3 linked regions of the Coturnix japonica genome follow. The main gene of each other region encodes a partner of the protein of the gene in region 2 in a complex. Links are inferred from orthologs where the notes say so. Each region holds a gene or a part of one and is shown on either strand. Other genes may lie near its edges. The genes, in order: CNOT6L, CNOT9 and CNOT6.

Region 1 (4,105 bases), on a different chromosome or scaffold from region 2:
CCGCCCTCTAAACTTCAGCAACCTAAAAGTCTCCACAAGGCTGATCTAAGCACCAGTTCTGTGCTGTTACAGGAAATCTGCTCTAGAGCTGTGCATGTTACCGACACTATCACTGAAAGTAAAATGTTCTCAGAAAAAAGAAAAAGCACCTCCCCATTTTGCACAGTGACTCTGAACAAGGAAGACAGCAGCTGCAGAGACCCACCTCAATGTAAGATGTTCTTTGCAATCCTTCAGGTTTAAATTAGGTAAAGACACACCCTGGTGTGCAAATTCATTAACTCTTCTCCAATGGCTCCCTTTTATTTTACCTCCACAGTCCACAGACGCGTTGGGATCGTGTCCTGGCTGATTTCTGTAGGACTGGTGTGAGAGCTGAATATTGCTGTGCTTGGCAAGCTCAGGGCAAAGCCTGCCCTGCTTTTTATAAAAGCAAGATCAGTAAGGAAAAACAGCCAGAATCCAAACAATAAAAAAAAAAAAAAACAACACCAGCTTATCGCCCGAAACGAAGCTTTACAAAGATCCTTGCAAGGAAAAATAAACAAATAGCAGTCATAACACCACTTACTTCAGCAACAGAATGGCCACTGCAGATGTTCCCGAGCTCCTGATACCCGGGGCAGGGAGAGGAGCAGAGGCTGGTGGCGTCCCCACAGAGACAGACACACCAAGTCCTCCCACCCTCAAGGTGCTGAGCTTTGCTGGCAACCACACCACCGCCGCTACAGGGAAAAACACTCTTCAAAACGAAAACAAGCCCTATCAGTAAAAACGCACTTCTGCAGATAACTGCATCTACAGCAGGGACTTCTGCTGGCACAGCTATGTCACTCAAGGGTCACACCTCGCCACAGCGTTCGCACACAGAGCTGTGCCAGCAGAAGTTTGCCATATAGGCCTGGTGTGAAGCTCAGCGGACCAAAATGAATCTGCAAAGTTTGGTGTTTTTCATAGTGCTGCCAAACAAACTTTTTCCAGCAGTCTGACAACGAGTCCTCCTACTCCTTTGTTACAGGCACATCAGCATCTCAGTTTCTGAGGGGAAAGGAAACCTAACAGCAGCCCAAGGATGTGGCAGTACCTATCATCCACTTACATCATACTTTATACTTCAGTGAAATTCACAGCCCTTGCAGGAAGAAAAGGCAAAACTGAATAATGTTTGTTCTGTTGTACTTCAGCACTCTTCATGCTACAACTCCTCACTTTTCATAGTGAGAAAAGAACATAACTGATAGTGTCAAATGGGGTTTGCTTAGCGAGCGGCACAGCGCTGCAGAATTCCCACCTCTAAGCATGACCTGGCGGTCACGAGACTTCCATCAACCCACAACCAGTTCTGAAGACAGCAGGCAAAAAGATTTCACACCTGGGTAGATATTGGAACATAAGTTCAGTTCGGATGAATCAACACAGTACTGTGGGCCACACATACGGTGATGCACAGATATGGCAAGGTATGGAGCAGTATGACATCACCAGCACACGCCACTCATTTACTCTGGAGCAAAATGACACAACCAAGTAGCAACATCCCATTACCCTCGGCAGGACGCAGAGAGCTTGAGGCATTTGCAGTACCACAGCTCTCAGTTTGGAGAGCTCTGATAAGGCACACACCGGCCTGCAGCGGGGCACAGTGGGAACAGAAGGGGCTACGCTACCTCTGTCAGTCTGGAGTGCCGCCAGTGCATGGCCATGCCCAGCGAGCTGCCGTGTGGACGGACAGTACTCTCAGTACAAGGTTCACCATCACATCACATTTTGGGAGAGATACAGGGAGAAAACATTAGTGGTGCTGTGTTTGCAAAGGCCACACTCCAGCCCTACCAAAGCCCTCCAAACATGGGTGCTGCTTCTAGGAATTCCTGGGCTTTCGTCACAGTGACGACACTCTTACTGGACACAACACGCTTTGTATTTCTTTGTTAAAAAACTTGCACAGGGGTAAAAACATCTGCAAATGCTAAAAACAGCTGCGTTATCATTACTTTCATTATTGGCCATGTCTACACAAGCCAGGAGCAACTCAAGGCGAGCTGCTCCCCTCCATGCTGCCTCAGGGTGGGGGGCAGCTGCCTCTCAGAGCTGTGCTGGGCACAGCGGGGGCAAACTGCCCACCCCACAGACCGCATGTGGCCACGGGCCTCCTGTGCCAGCAGAGACCAATCAACACAACTTGCAGCTCCTAAAAGTGGACACTCAGTCTCCAAGTTTCAGCAGCGGGCAGACGAAGCTGCTCGTCCCGAGGTCCCGGGAGGTCAGACGGAACGTGGCCGAGGTTTTTGGGCGATCAGACAGAACACGGCGGGGCCGCCACACCGCGGGACGTGCTCCGCCATGTTCCACAGAGAAGTTTCCGAAGCAAGCCCCGAATTGCCGGTGCAAACTCGGACGTTCGTGCCCGTCCTCGCCTCCGCCAGCAGCCGAGCGCGGGGCCGCGGCGAGTGAACCCCCCTGGAGGGAAGCAACGCTCCCCGCCGCCCGGCGCCCAGGTGAGCGCCCGGCCCGGCTCGGCGTTGGGCCCGGGTATCCCGCACGGCCGCGCCCGGGCCCCGAACCGGGGATAACGCGCGGTCCCCCCGCCGCCCCGCATTCCCTCCGAGCGCTCTCCCTCCTCTCCCGGGCGGGCCCGCCGTCCCTCAGCCGCCCGGCCGGACACTGGCCCCGGTGCCGGCGGGCGGCGCAGGCCGCGACATGGCGGTCCCGCTCCCCGCCAGGCCCCGGCGGGCCGCGGAGCTCACCTGCATCCGGCGCGGCGGCGGCTGGCGGCGGGGCGGCGGCGGCGGGGCGGCGGGCAGCAACGACATGCGGGCGGCGGCCCGCCGGGGACGGGGAACGGGGCGGCGGCGGCGGCGGCTGCGGAGGCGGGGAGGAGCGGGCCGGGGCTCGGGCGGCGCGGAGGGCGGGGGAGCGGGAGGTGGGGACGGGAGGAGGAGGCGGCGGGAGCGGGGCGGGCGGCGCGGGGACCCCGGGGAGGCGCCGGGACCCCGAGGAGGTGGCGGGGAGCCCCCGTTGGGCCCTGCGGGGCGGCGGCTGCTCCTGGGGACGCCAGTGGGGACCCGATCGTAGGGAGGGAAAACAGCCCTCCGTGGGTAATTGTCGTTAATTACGGAGAGCGCCGTCTGACAGGGCGTACGTGAGGAGCAGGTCGCCCCGCGAAAGGCCTCTGGCAGTCGCGGACAGACTGAGGAAGTGACTCAGGTGTCGGGGTGACGGGGCCCCGCGCTCAGCCTGAGCCTCTGGGGGCGTAGGGCTCGTCTGGCATCACCTCTGTCTCCACAGGAGGTGTCCCCCTGCTGCCAAACCCTTTGGGCACCGCGCTGTCTGTGTCTGCAGAGCCGTGTCAAAGGGCAGGTAGAGCAGGTAAATGGTGTGTGTGCCAGCTTTGGAGCACAGTGTTCTCCAGCTGGGCACACCAGAGGTGGAGGCGGCCTTCCTGTGGGGACCATGCCTAAGTTCTACAAGAAAATGTGTGGGTGTCGAATGAGGGAAAGATGGAGAGTGGATTTTAAAGGGGGAAGATAAATTATGATAATAAAACTAGGGCAGAGAAAAGTGCAGGTCTTTGTGGGTTCACCTGTGGGACCAAAATAGTCGTATGTGAATGAGGAGCACAGAAGGAGCCTCCATGGTAGAGCACAGTTCAGCCAGCTGTGTCCAGTGTAAAGGAGTGGTTGTGAGCGGGTGCACACATGTACAGAGGAGGGCAGAGGGAGAGAGAAAGCAAGAAAAAAACCTTCAAGAATAACTTTACTGGGATGCGTTTTTATAGGAGAAAAGTCGTGTGCTGCCTCAGAAAGGCATGGGCACTGTGACTTCTATGACAGCTGCGCCTTTGGCTGGTCTGGTCATTTCCTCTCCTGAAAAATACCCACCCAATGGCTCACTGAAGGGACTGTACCTTCTCTTCTCCCGTTGCCTCTGTTAATCATTCTGTACATCTCCCGGCTCCCATTACAGGCCAGGGCCTCGCCACCCTCACCCCAGGTATTGTTTCCCTCCCTTCTCCAAAGGGAGCGTAACTGAGAAACCAGGTTCTGCAAGTGGCTGCCCAGGGTCACTGCTGGCAGGACCAGCATCTCCTGGGGCTTCACTAGGC
Region 2 (4,207 bases):
TGGCTCTTTGCGGATGTGGGGATGACTTTGTTTTGAATTCTTGGAGCAAAGAGGAATGCTGCTCCTGTGCCTAGAGGCAGAGCACACGCACTTCATTCATACCATAGCTGCTGGTACTCCTCTAACTCAATGAAGGGGAAGCAGCTGAAGGTGAGAAATCCAATTCAGAAAACTGTCTGTTTCCAGCTATGGCTCCCTTAGCATTTTCTTCACTTGTTTCAGGGCCACCCTGTTTTCACAGTCTGCCATTGCCTATCCTGCACCATTTTCCTTTCTTCTTCAAATGAAATGACAAGATCCAGCAGAGGTGGGCAGACATCAGCTGTAGTTTACCCAGAGCTCAGCTGAGCCACTCGCTTTGACCAGAAATGCACTTAGTTTTCTTTGCAAGGTACTCTGGAGCAGTGAGCTACAAGTACTTCCATACTGCCCCCATGAGGGCTCTGTAATGGCAACCTTTTGATCAAGTAGTACTCAGACTCATAGGAAAATAAAGAAAAAAAACTCCACAGCACAAAGCAGAGATGTTAGGAGTAAAACTATTGTGGTTCTGCTATGCCACTACAAATAGAAAAGGAATATTATCTACAAGAAGTTCATACACAGAAGAACTCGGCTACTCCCCTTTCACCTGTCTAAGCCATCTCATCAACAATCTTATGGCCTGGTCTCTAAGGACATTACCTTGCAAGAAATGACTAATGGAAAACATTAGAAGTGCCCTCCTTGTGTGGTTCCTCTCACCATGTGATCCAGCAGCCATCATACTCACAGTAATTGCACGAAGGGACTATCAGCGCCTCCCCAGATCCACCCCGTGGCCACACAGAGCTGTGCAGTGTGGCAGCACTGTGCCACGAAACAAAGCTGAGCTCTGCCCTACCCACCTGAAGGAGTGCTGCAATGGTGCCAAATGAGTGCCACAGCATGGGGGCAAGGTCAGGCACAGACTCGCGCTTCTTGCTCAGCTCCAGCAGTGCATTCTCCCTCGTCTCAGGGCTGGACAGCTCGTTGATCCACTGGTAGATCTTCTCACGGTCCACCTGAGCCAGTGCTGTAGGCACAGGCTGGGAGGGAGACAGGAAAACTTCAGTCACAGCTGTTACAGCAAAGTCCCACCCAAACGCTTCTCACAGCCTCAAAGGTAAAGAAATAAAAAGGTCTTGAGGAAGTGGCTGGGGGAGGGAGGGACTCAAGCTGCATTAAGAAACTGTGGATATAGATGATCCTTTAGATTAAGCTTAGTCCTTCGCCTAGCTGAAAGACAGATGTTTCACTTTCTGGCCTACACAGACAGCGTGGTGATACAGACCAACTATTTGGAGGCAAACATGCATTAAAGCAAATGCTTCATGTACCACAGTGCCAGCAATGCTCCTTAGTGAACACAACAGAGCTCAGGAACTGACAGCAACAGGAACCCAAATGAAGTTCCCATTGCTGCTGGAGGGAGACCATGTCTTTGGGACACCCCCCCAGAGCCTTCCTTCTCTCTCCTATTCCTACAGCAGTTTCCCTGCTCAGCTACCCGCACATTATGCTTATGATCCTGTGGGATATATAGAGGATTGAAGTTGCCATTTAGGCTACAATATAAGCTGATATGCTGTTACCAATCCCGACATCTCAGGCCTCTAATACCTTCTACCTGCTCACCTTTCCTCCTATCCCCTTTTTTTACCTCATCTACTCTATTTTACTTCATTTCCCCCCCCTAGAACCTCACACAGAAATAATAACCCTAACAATCTGCTGTACAAGGAACACAATCCCAATGGTAACACCGATACCACAGCTGGGAGAGAGAGGGCGAACAGACTGAGCTCATTTGTTTCCATTTGGGATGGCAGTGCAGCACTAACGTTGTTATAGCCATGTTATCTAAAGCTTCCATCTATTTTGCCAGACTCTCTGTAAGTTTCAATTCCTGCAAGCTTAAATATATCGACCCTTTAAAAGCACAACGGTGTGTCTACGATCCCTAGGGAGCACTAAGCAGATTTTCCAAGCTATTAAGCTTACAATGTCCAGTATCAGTCTTATCTCACAGAATCACAGAATGACCCGGGTTGGAAGGGACCTCAAGGATCATGTAGTTCCAACCCCCCTGCCTGGCAGGGCCACCAAACATACACATTTACTAGATCAGGTTGCCCAGGAGACCCCATAGACCCCCATAGAGACCCCATAGACCCCCATAGACCCCCATAGAGACCCCATAGATCAGGTTGCCCATGGCCCCGTCCAACCTGGCCTTGAACACCTCCAAGGACGGGGCATCCACAACCTCCCTGGGCAGCCTGTTCCAGGCCCTAACCACTCTCCTAGTGAAGAACTTCCCCCTAACATCCAACCTAAATCTTCCCTCTTTCAACTTAAAACCATTTCCCCGTGTCCTGCTATCTCCCCAGCCCAAAGGCTCTACTATGCTCAGTCACCATTCTAGCTAAAACCAAAAGCCGCATTTCCTCCTCATTTCCTCTTTCCTTGTTGCTCACCCTAAAGCTGTGTGGAAGCCCAAGGCCTACACACAACTTCTGAGGCGGCCTCCCCCCCCCTCGCCCTCCCGCCGTCTCCTGAGACCCGAACGAGGAGCTGGGCCGCCGAAGTAGCCCTTAGAGCCCCGTTACCCCCCCTAGAGGCCGATCCCCGTCCCGGTGCCGTCTCACCGCTGCCGTGCCCAGGCTGTGCATGGTGCCGCCGCTCAGGCCCCCGCCGCCATAGAGACACACCGGGAAGGGGACGCGGCCTGCAGGAGGGCGAGCTGCGCATGCGCACAACCCGCAGCGGGCAGCAGGCCGCTCTCTAACTGCGCATGCGCGCCGGTGGGAGGGGGGAAAGGCAAAGCACCGCTTCTGAGCATGCGCAGTTGCGGGGCGTGCCGGGAATGGCGCCGCCGTGCTGACGTCAGCGGCGCGCGCGCGCGCCTGCGTGCCGTGCGTCGCGCGGGGAGCCGGTTCCCGCCATCCGGCGCCGCGCCCCGCAGGTACCGGGAGCCAACGCGGCCCCTCACGGCGGGGCCTCGCACCGACACACCGTGACGGGGCCGCGTCCACAGGGGCCGCCTCCCCCTTCACCGACCCCACTCAGCTTCTCCCCGCTTTACTCCCGGGAAGGCCGCGGCTCGGCGTGTCGGTGAGTGCCGGTCCGTGGCGGTCCCGCTCCACACGTGTTGTGATCCCCGCAGGTTGTGTCGGTGAGGCCCCGCCATGGCCCTGCTGAAAGTACACGGCCCCGTGAGGCTGTACTGCATGCAGACCGGAGTGACCAGGTGGAAGGAGGGCTGCTTCGAGGTGGTGGAGAAGGATAACAAAGTCAACCTGGTGGTGCACTACGGCATGAGGGGCATCCCAAAGACCTTCCAGGTGGGTGCTGCCGTGCCCGGTTACCGGCTGTCACTGCTCATACTGCCTCCTTCAGTAGGGCCATCCCTCGGTGTAGCATTGAGTTACTCAGTTCTGGTGTTATGGCATCTGCTGGATCAGAAGGGCCGAGCTGCAGGTGTGGAGCCGTGGCTCAAGTCTTGTTTTGGGATGTTCTCTCTTTGTGTGCAGCCTGGAGGTGGAATCCCACTGTTTGACCATGGTGCTGTGCTCCTTTATTCCTTATGTGCCTTCCCAAGGTTCTCGTTCATGCTCTGTTCTACCAGGTTGAGTTTTGCTGTTGGTAGTTTAACGCCTGGAGCTGTGGTTCTGTGGGAGCCTGCCCAGCAGCTGTCTATGCCTGCAGGGATAGGCTTTGTGTCTGCCTCTCTTCTGGCTCTGGCGCTCTGTGGGAGCTTGGAGAAGGGTTTTCACTTGGATTGGCCATCACTATTTGGATCAGCTGTGTGGCAATACTCAGGTTGGGCCACTTTAGGAGGAGGCTCCAATCTGATGGGCAGCCTCTTGCTCTGCAGTGCGAGGTTTGGCTGTGGTTTCAACTTGCAAGGATGTCATTGTGTAGCAGCGTGTAGTTCATAGGAAAGGCCACAGAAGTGACAGAGATGAATAACTAAGTGCAAAAGGACGCAGGAGTTGAAAATGACTTTTTGTATTGACACACGTATGGTTCCTTTTCCACCTCCACCTCCTTGTGAGTGACCTGGCAGGAAGCAGCAGTTGGTTCATGTCGTAATACAGTGGTGCAGCAGAATTAATGGAGAGAAGGAGCTCTTTAAAACTACCCTCCTGCAGGACCATAACCTCGAAACATTTGACACCACGGA
Region 3 (3,602 bases), on a different chromosome or scaffold from region 2:
GGCTTTCCAGCTAAAATTTAAAATTAAATATTTACCTTGCATAGCCAGCAACAGAAAATACCATCATATTTACCTGTGTTTGATTTTAAACAAGATGTTTGAGGGTGGGAAAAAAATACCAGCTGTTTGAAAAGGATTACTAACATTTAGCTTAAGAGGGCTACACAACTCCTCTTGTAACTACTGAGTGCTCAGTGCTTTAGTCAATTCTAAGCATTAGGAATAATCCAATATCAACTCGTTCTCTGATACCTTTACACATCTCCAAGCAGAATCCCTCAAACTGCAGTGCTTTCATTGTTTGTTTTCCAGCACAAAGTTGCAGTAAAAAGGAAACTGGATTTAACGGGTGAATGTAAGTTTGAACACTGTATGTCTAAGGAAAAGATGTATGGTTTAAACGATGATAGGGTTGGTTTGTTTCAATTGATAAAATACCGCACAATCAAATATTAAACAGCACTTACATGACATTTCTATCAGTTCTTTTCGCAGTTCTAATAACACAGCAACTCCAATGTTATCTTTTGTCATAACTCTGTTCAGCATAGCTTCTGAGCCTTCCGAGTTTGCCATAGCCAGTTGATTGAACTCAACAGTATGTTTCTGAACCAAAGTAAATCTGAAAGAGGAACATTGTATACACTTCCTTCAGTAGACAGCCACCAAAGGAAATGTTACAGACAAATTCACCTCTTAATTAAGCTCAAACACATTTACAGTGAGAAAGTCTCAGCCCATCCTATAATTTCATAAAAATCATTTGCTGAAATCAAAAGGATACTGTTTTCCTAGTTGTTTCTTTGTTTGTTTAAAGATATTAAGCTGATTTTAATGAAAACATTTATTTTTTAAAAAGAAGGAGCAACTACTGAAAGAGTGCTTCATTTTCATTCTGCATAAGATTCTAGTCCAAACTTGCTGGTTTAATAGCAACTAGATAATTGCTTGTGGCATCGCTGTGTACACAAAAGGAATCGAAGGAGAAGGACAGAAGGAAAGCCATGACCGCCACTTGTAGTCTGAATTCAGCCTTTGAGATTTCTTTTTTGAGAATTCATTTTTGAGATATTTAATATATTTTTTAAATAAAAATTAAAACGCAAACATCTTTAATGTGTAATGACAGCATTTGAAGCATAATTTACTGAACTCTTGACTTGTTAAAACCAAACAGCTACAAGAAAGGGTGAGCGGTGGCAAACTATTTTGACTTTTGAATGACCCAAGAAATCGTGTAGAAAAGAACAAGAGGCAATGGAAAGCTTAATAAACCAAATCACTTACTTCTCTGTTTTGAAAAATATTGCACAACCATCGACATGTTTTCTTTCCTGTTCGGACATTGTCCTAGCTCTAGATTTTGGACTGAAGAATCCATTATAGCCACGTTCTTTCAGTTCTACCAGGAAAAAACTGTAGTACTGCTCAGTTTCAACCTCCTATAAAGTCAGAACACAGCACACAGTGAATTACTATTACCAAACCACACAAGACTGATATTATTTAGACTCTTCAGAAGTGTAAATCAGTTTCAAATTAGAATTAAGGAAAAAGAAACAAAAAAAAAAAAAACATAAGAATTCCTAAGAATTAAGTACACTGGAGAATACAAATTTGAGAGCAATATTCGTGTTTTAAGAAGAAAATATAAATGAACTTCTGTAATCCCCAGAGTTATGATTATCCTAAGCCTTATATTTGAAAATGTGTCAATTATACCCTCACATGCACACACACAGACACCCCCACATACATTTCTTTGATCAGCAGCTGCTGGTTCACATCCCAACTGTGTGGGCTGAAAAGCATTCTTTTGATGTCAAGCAGCAAATATTGCTCTGAACACCACTTCTTTTTTTTCTTTGTTTGTTTTCAGAGGGTTTTGAAAAACATACCAGTTACAGCAAATATATTTAATACAGAGAAACCAGCACGTGAGAATTGGAAGGGGAAAAGAAATAACAGTATATCTTTTACCTGAAGACTTATGATGTCAGCATTGCAGCTCAGGATTTCCTGCATAATGGCTTTTTTTCTGTACTCCCAGTTCAGCGCCCAAGATGGACAGTAGCCATACAACTGCCGGGTAGCGTATTTATCACACAGCACGTTGTAACACATGACAGAGAACAAGGCTGCAGAACAATAACGTCACTTACATACTGATTATAGTAACAACAAAAAAACATACAATTATCTTCTTCTCCTTTGTCTTCTCTGGACCTATGAATCCATGTTTCATTTGCTTCAACCAAAACACAGCACCTGCACCTATGCTATAAAAGCATCTTTCAGTCCTTCCAGGAGGACAAATTACCTCCAGGTTGGGATTTCTGGCAGCCATTTACTAACATGTACACAGAAACCAAAAATCAAAAGAACTCTTTATATGGTTAATGCAATATACAGTTGAAAAATATGCTTCACATTAAGTAGTGCATAACTGGGGAAAGCCTTGAACAAGGAGTTTCAAACTGATTTTAAATAATCTATTTGAGAACTTTACATACCTTAGGATAAGTTCATTAGCTATCCTAATTTGTACCACCAGCTGAAACAGATCCACATAATTTCACAGATTCACACTTAGGGCAAGGAATCCTTCCCACAAAATACAAATATAGGTAAAATAAAATCACAATTTTTTTCCCCCATCTCAAAAACCTTACAGTTTACAAGTAAAGGAAAGAGAAACCTACTTCTCAGCATTAATTTGGAACAGGAGGGATATATAATGAGACAGCCTGGGGCAAGATTGCAGGTAACCAAACGGCACGGATATTTGGTTTAGTTAAACAGAAAAAGTTGCATGGTAATAAACAGAAAAGGCTTTATTTTAAACAACTCATGCAGAAGAAATTAGTAAACAATTGAACAGAGCCTGAGATCAAACAACAAGAAAGCGTGGAGTCAGATGACACACAGGGAACTTGAAAGAAAAATCTTTACCTTTCTGAGGAATTAAGATCATGGTCTTCAATTTTTTATTCTTCGACAAATGTTCAATTAAGCCTGTTACAATTCAACTAACTGACTCACTTTGGACAGTCATTTCTGTTTCTGTGAAGAGTATGCTAATTAAAAGGAACTTAGAGTCTGAAGCAGAGGTTCTAGATGGGACAGGGCTACTACAACTGTCTATCAGCACTGGGCAGATGACTGGTTAATTGAAGCATCATTAAGATTTTAGTAGCAGATAACAGAGATCAACATTTGATATAAAATGAATAAAGCTTTCTTGAAGCACTACAGTACCTGTTGGCCTGGTACGGTCTGGTTCTTGTAACATAATCCAAGACCTTGGAGGTGGCTGTTCTGTTGAAACTATGGAAATATTTTAAAGAGACAAAAGTGATAATCACATTTATCTTACACAGCAGGAATAAATCTTTTAAGAATGATCACTTACTTCTTTTTGCAGTACCTGCCAAATTATCAAGCAAATAGTTCAGTAGCCTTCGCGTCCCGTCTGGTTCCTGATAAAGGTTCAGAATGTCCTGCGTGAGTGGATTTCCTGCAAACACATTTACAGAAACGCTGAATGAAGTATACAGAACCAGTATGAAGTTACTTATCAGTGTTAAAAGCCAGCATCGCTG

What was found.
Region 1: CNOT9 (region 2) and CNOT6L share a complex: the UniProt entries of both Homo sapiens proteins name them as parts of the CCR4-NOT complex. The link is inferred for Coturnix japonica from reciprocal best matches to the Homo sapiens genes CNOT9 and CNOT6L.
Region 3: CNOT9 (region 2) and CNOT6 share a complex: the UniProt entries of both Homo sapiens proteins name them as parts of the CCR4-NOT complex. The link is inferred for Coturnix japonica from reciprocal best matches to the Homo sapiens genes CNOT9 and CNOT6.

What each region holds. Positions count from the first base shown.
Region 1 is NC_029519.1:30,849,203-30,853,307, reverse strand, and holds the start of CNOT6L (CCR4-NOT transcription complex subunit 6-like), read right to left. Parts: upstream 2,817-4,105; 5' UTR 2,748-2,816; intron 2,499-2,747; coding exon of another isoform or gene 2,009-2,498; exon of another isoform or gene 1,994-2,008; intron 720-1,993; exon of another isoform or gene 572-719; intron 151-571; exon of another isoform or gene 1-150. Other genes in the region: MRPL1 (39S ribosomal protein L1, mitochondrial), read left to right, coding at 2,009-2,498. UniProt on the Homo sapiens protein: Has 3'-5' poly(A) exoribonuclease activity for synthetic poly(A) RNA substrate.
Region 2 is NC_029522.1:24,240,915-24,245,121, reverse strand, and holds the start of CNOT9 (CCR4-NOT transcription complex subunit 9), read right to left. Parts: upstream 2,803-4,207; 5' UTR 2,694-2,802; coding exon 2,670-2,693; intron 1,068-2,669; coding exon 888-1,067; intron 1-887. Other genes in the region: USP37 (ubiquitin carboxyl-terminal hydrolase 37), read left to right, coding at 3,210-3,365. UniProt on the Homo sapiens protein: Component of the CCR4-NOT complex which is one of the major cellular mRNA deadenylases and is linked to various cellular processes including bulk mRNA degradation, miRNA-mediated repression, translational repression during translational initiation and general transcription regulation.
Region 3 is NC_029528.1:4,242,805-4,246,406, reverse strand, and holds part of CNOT6 (CCR4-NOT transcription complex subunit 6), read right to left. Parts: intron 3,518-3,602; coding exon 3,413-3,517; intron 3,328-3,412; coding exon 3,259-3,327; intron 2,139-3,258; coding exon 1,981-2,138; intron 1,443-1,980; coding exon 1,288-1,442; intron 623-1,287; coding exon 468-622; intron 11-467; coding exon 1-10. UniProt on the Homo sapiens protein: Poly(A) nuclease with 3'-5' RNase activity.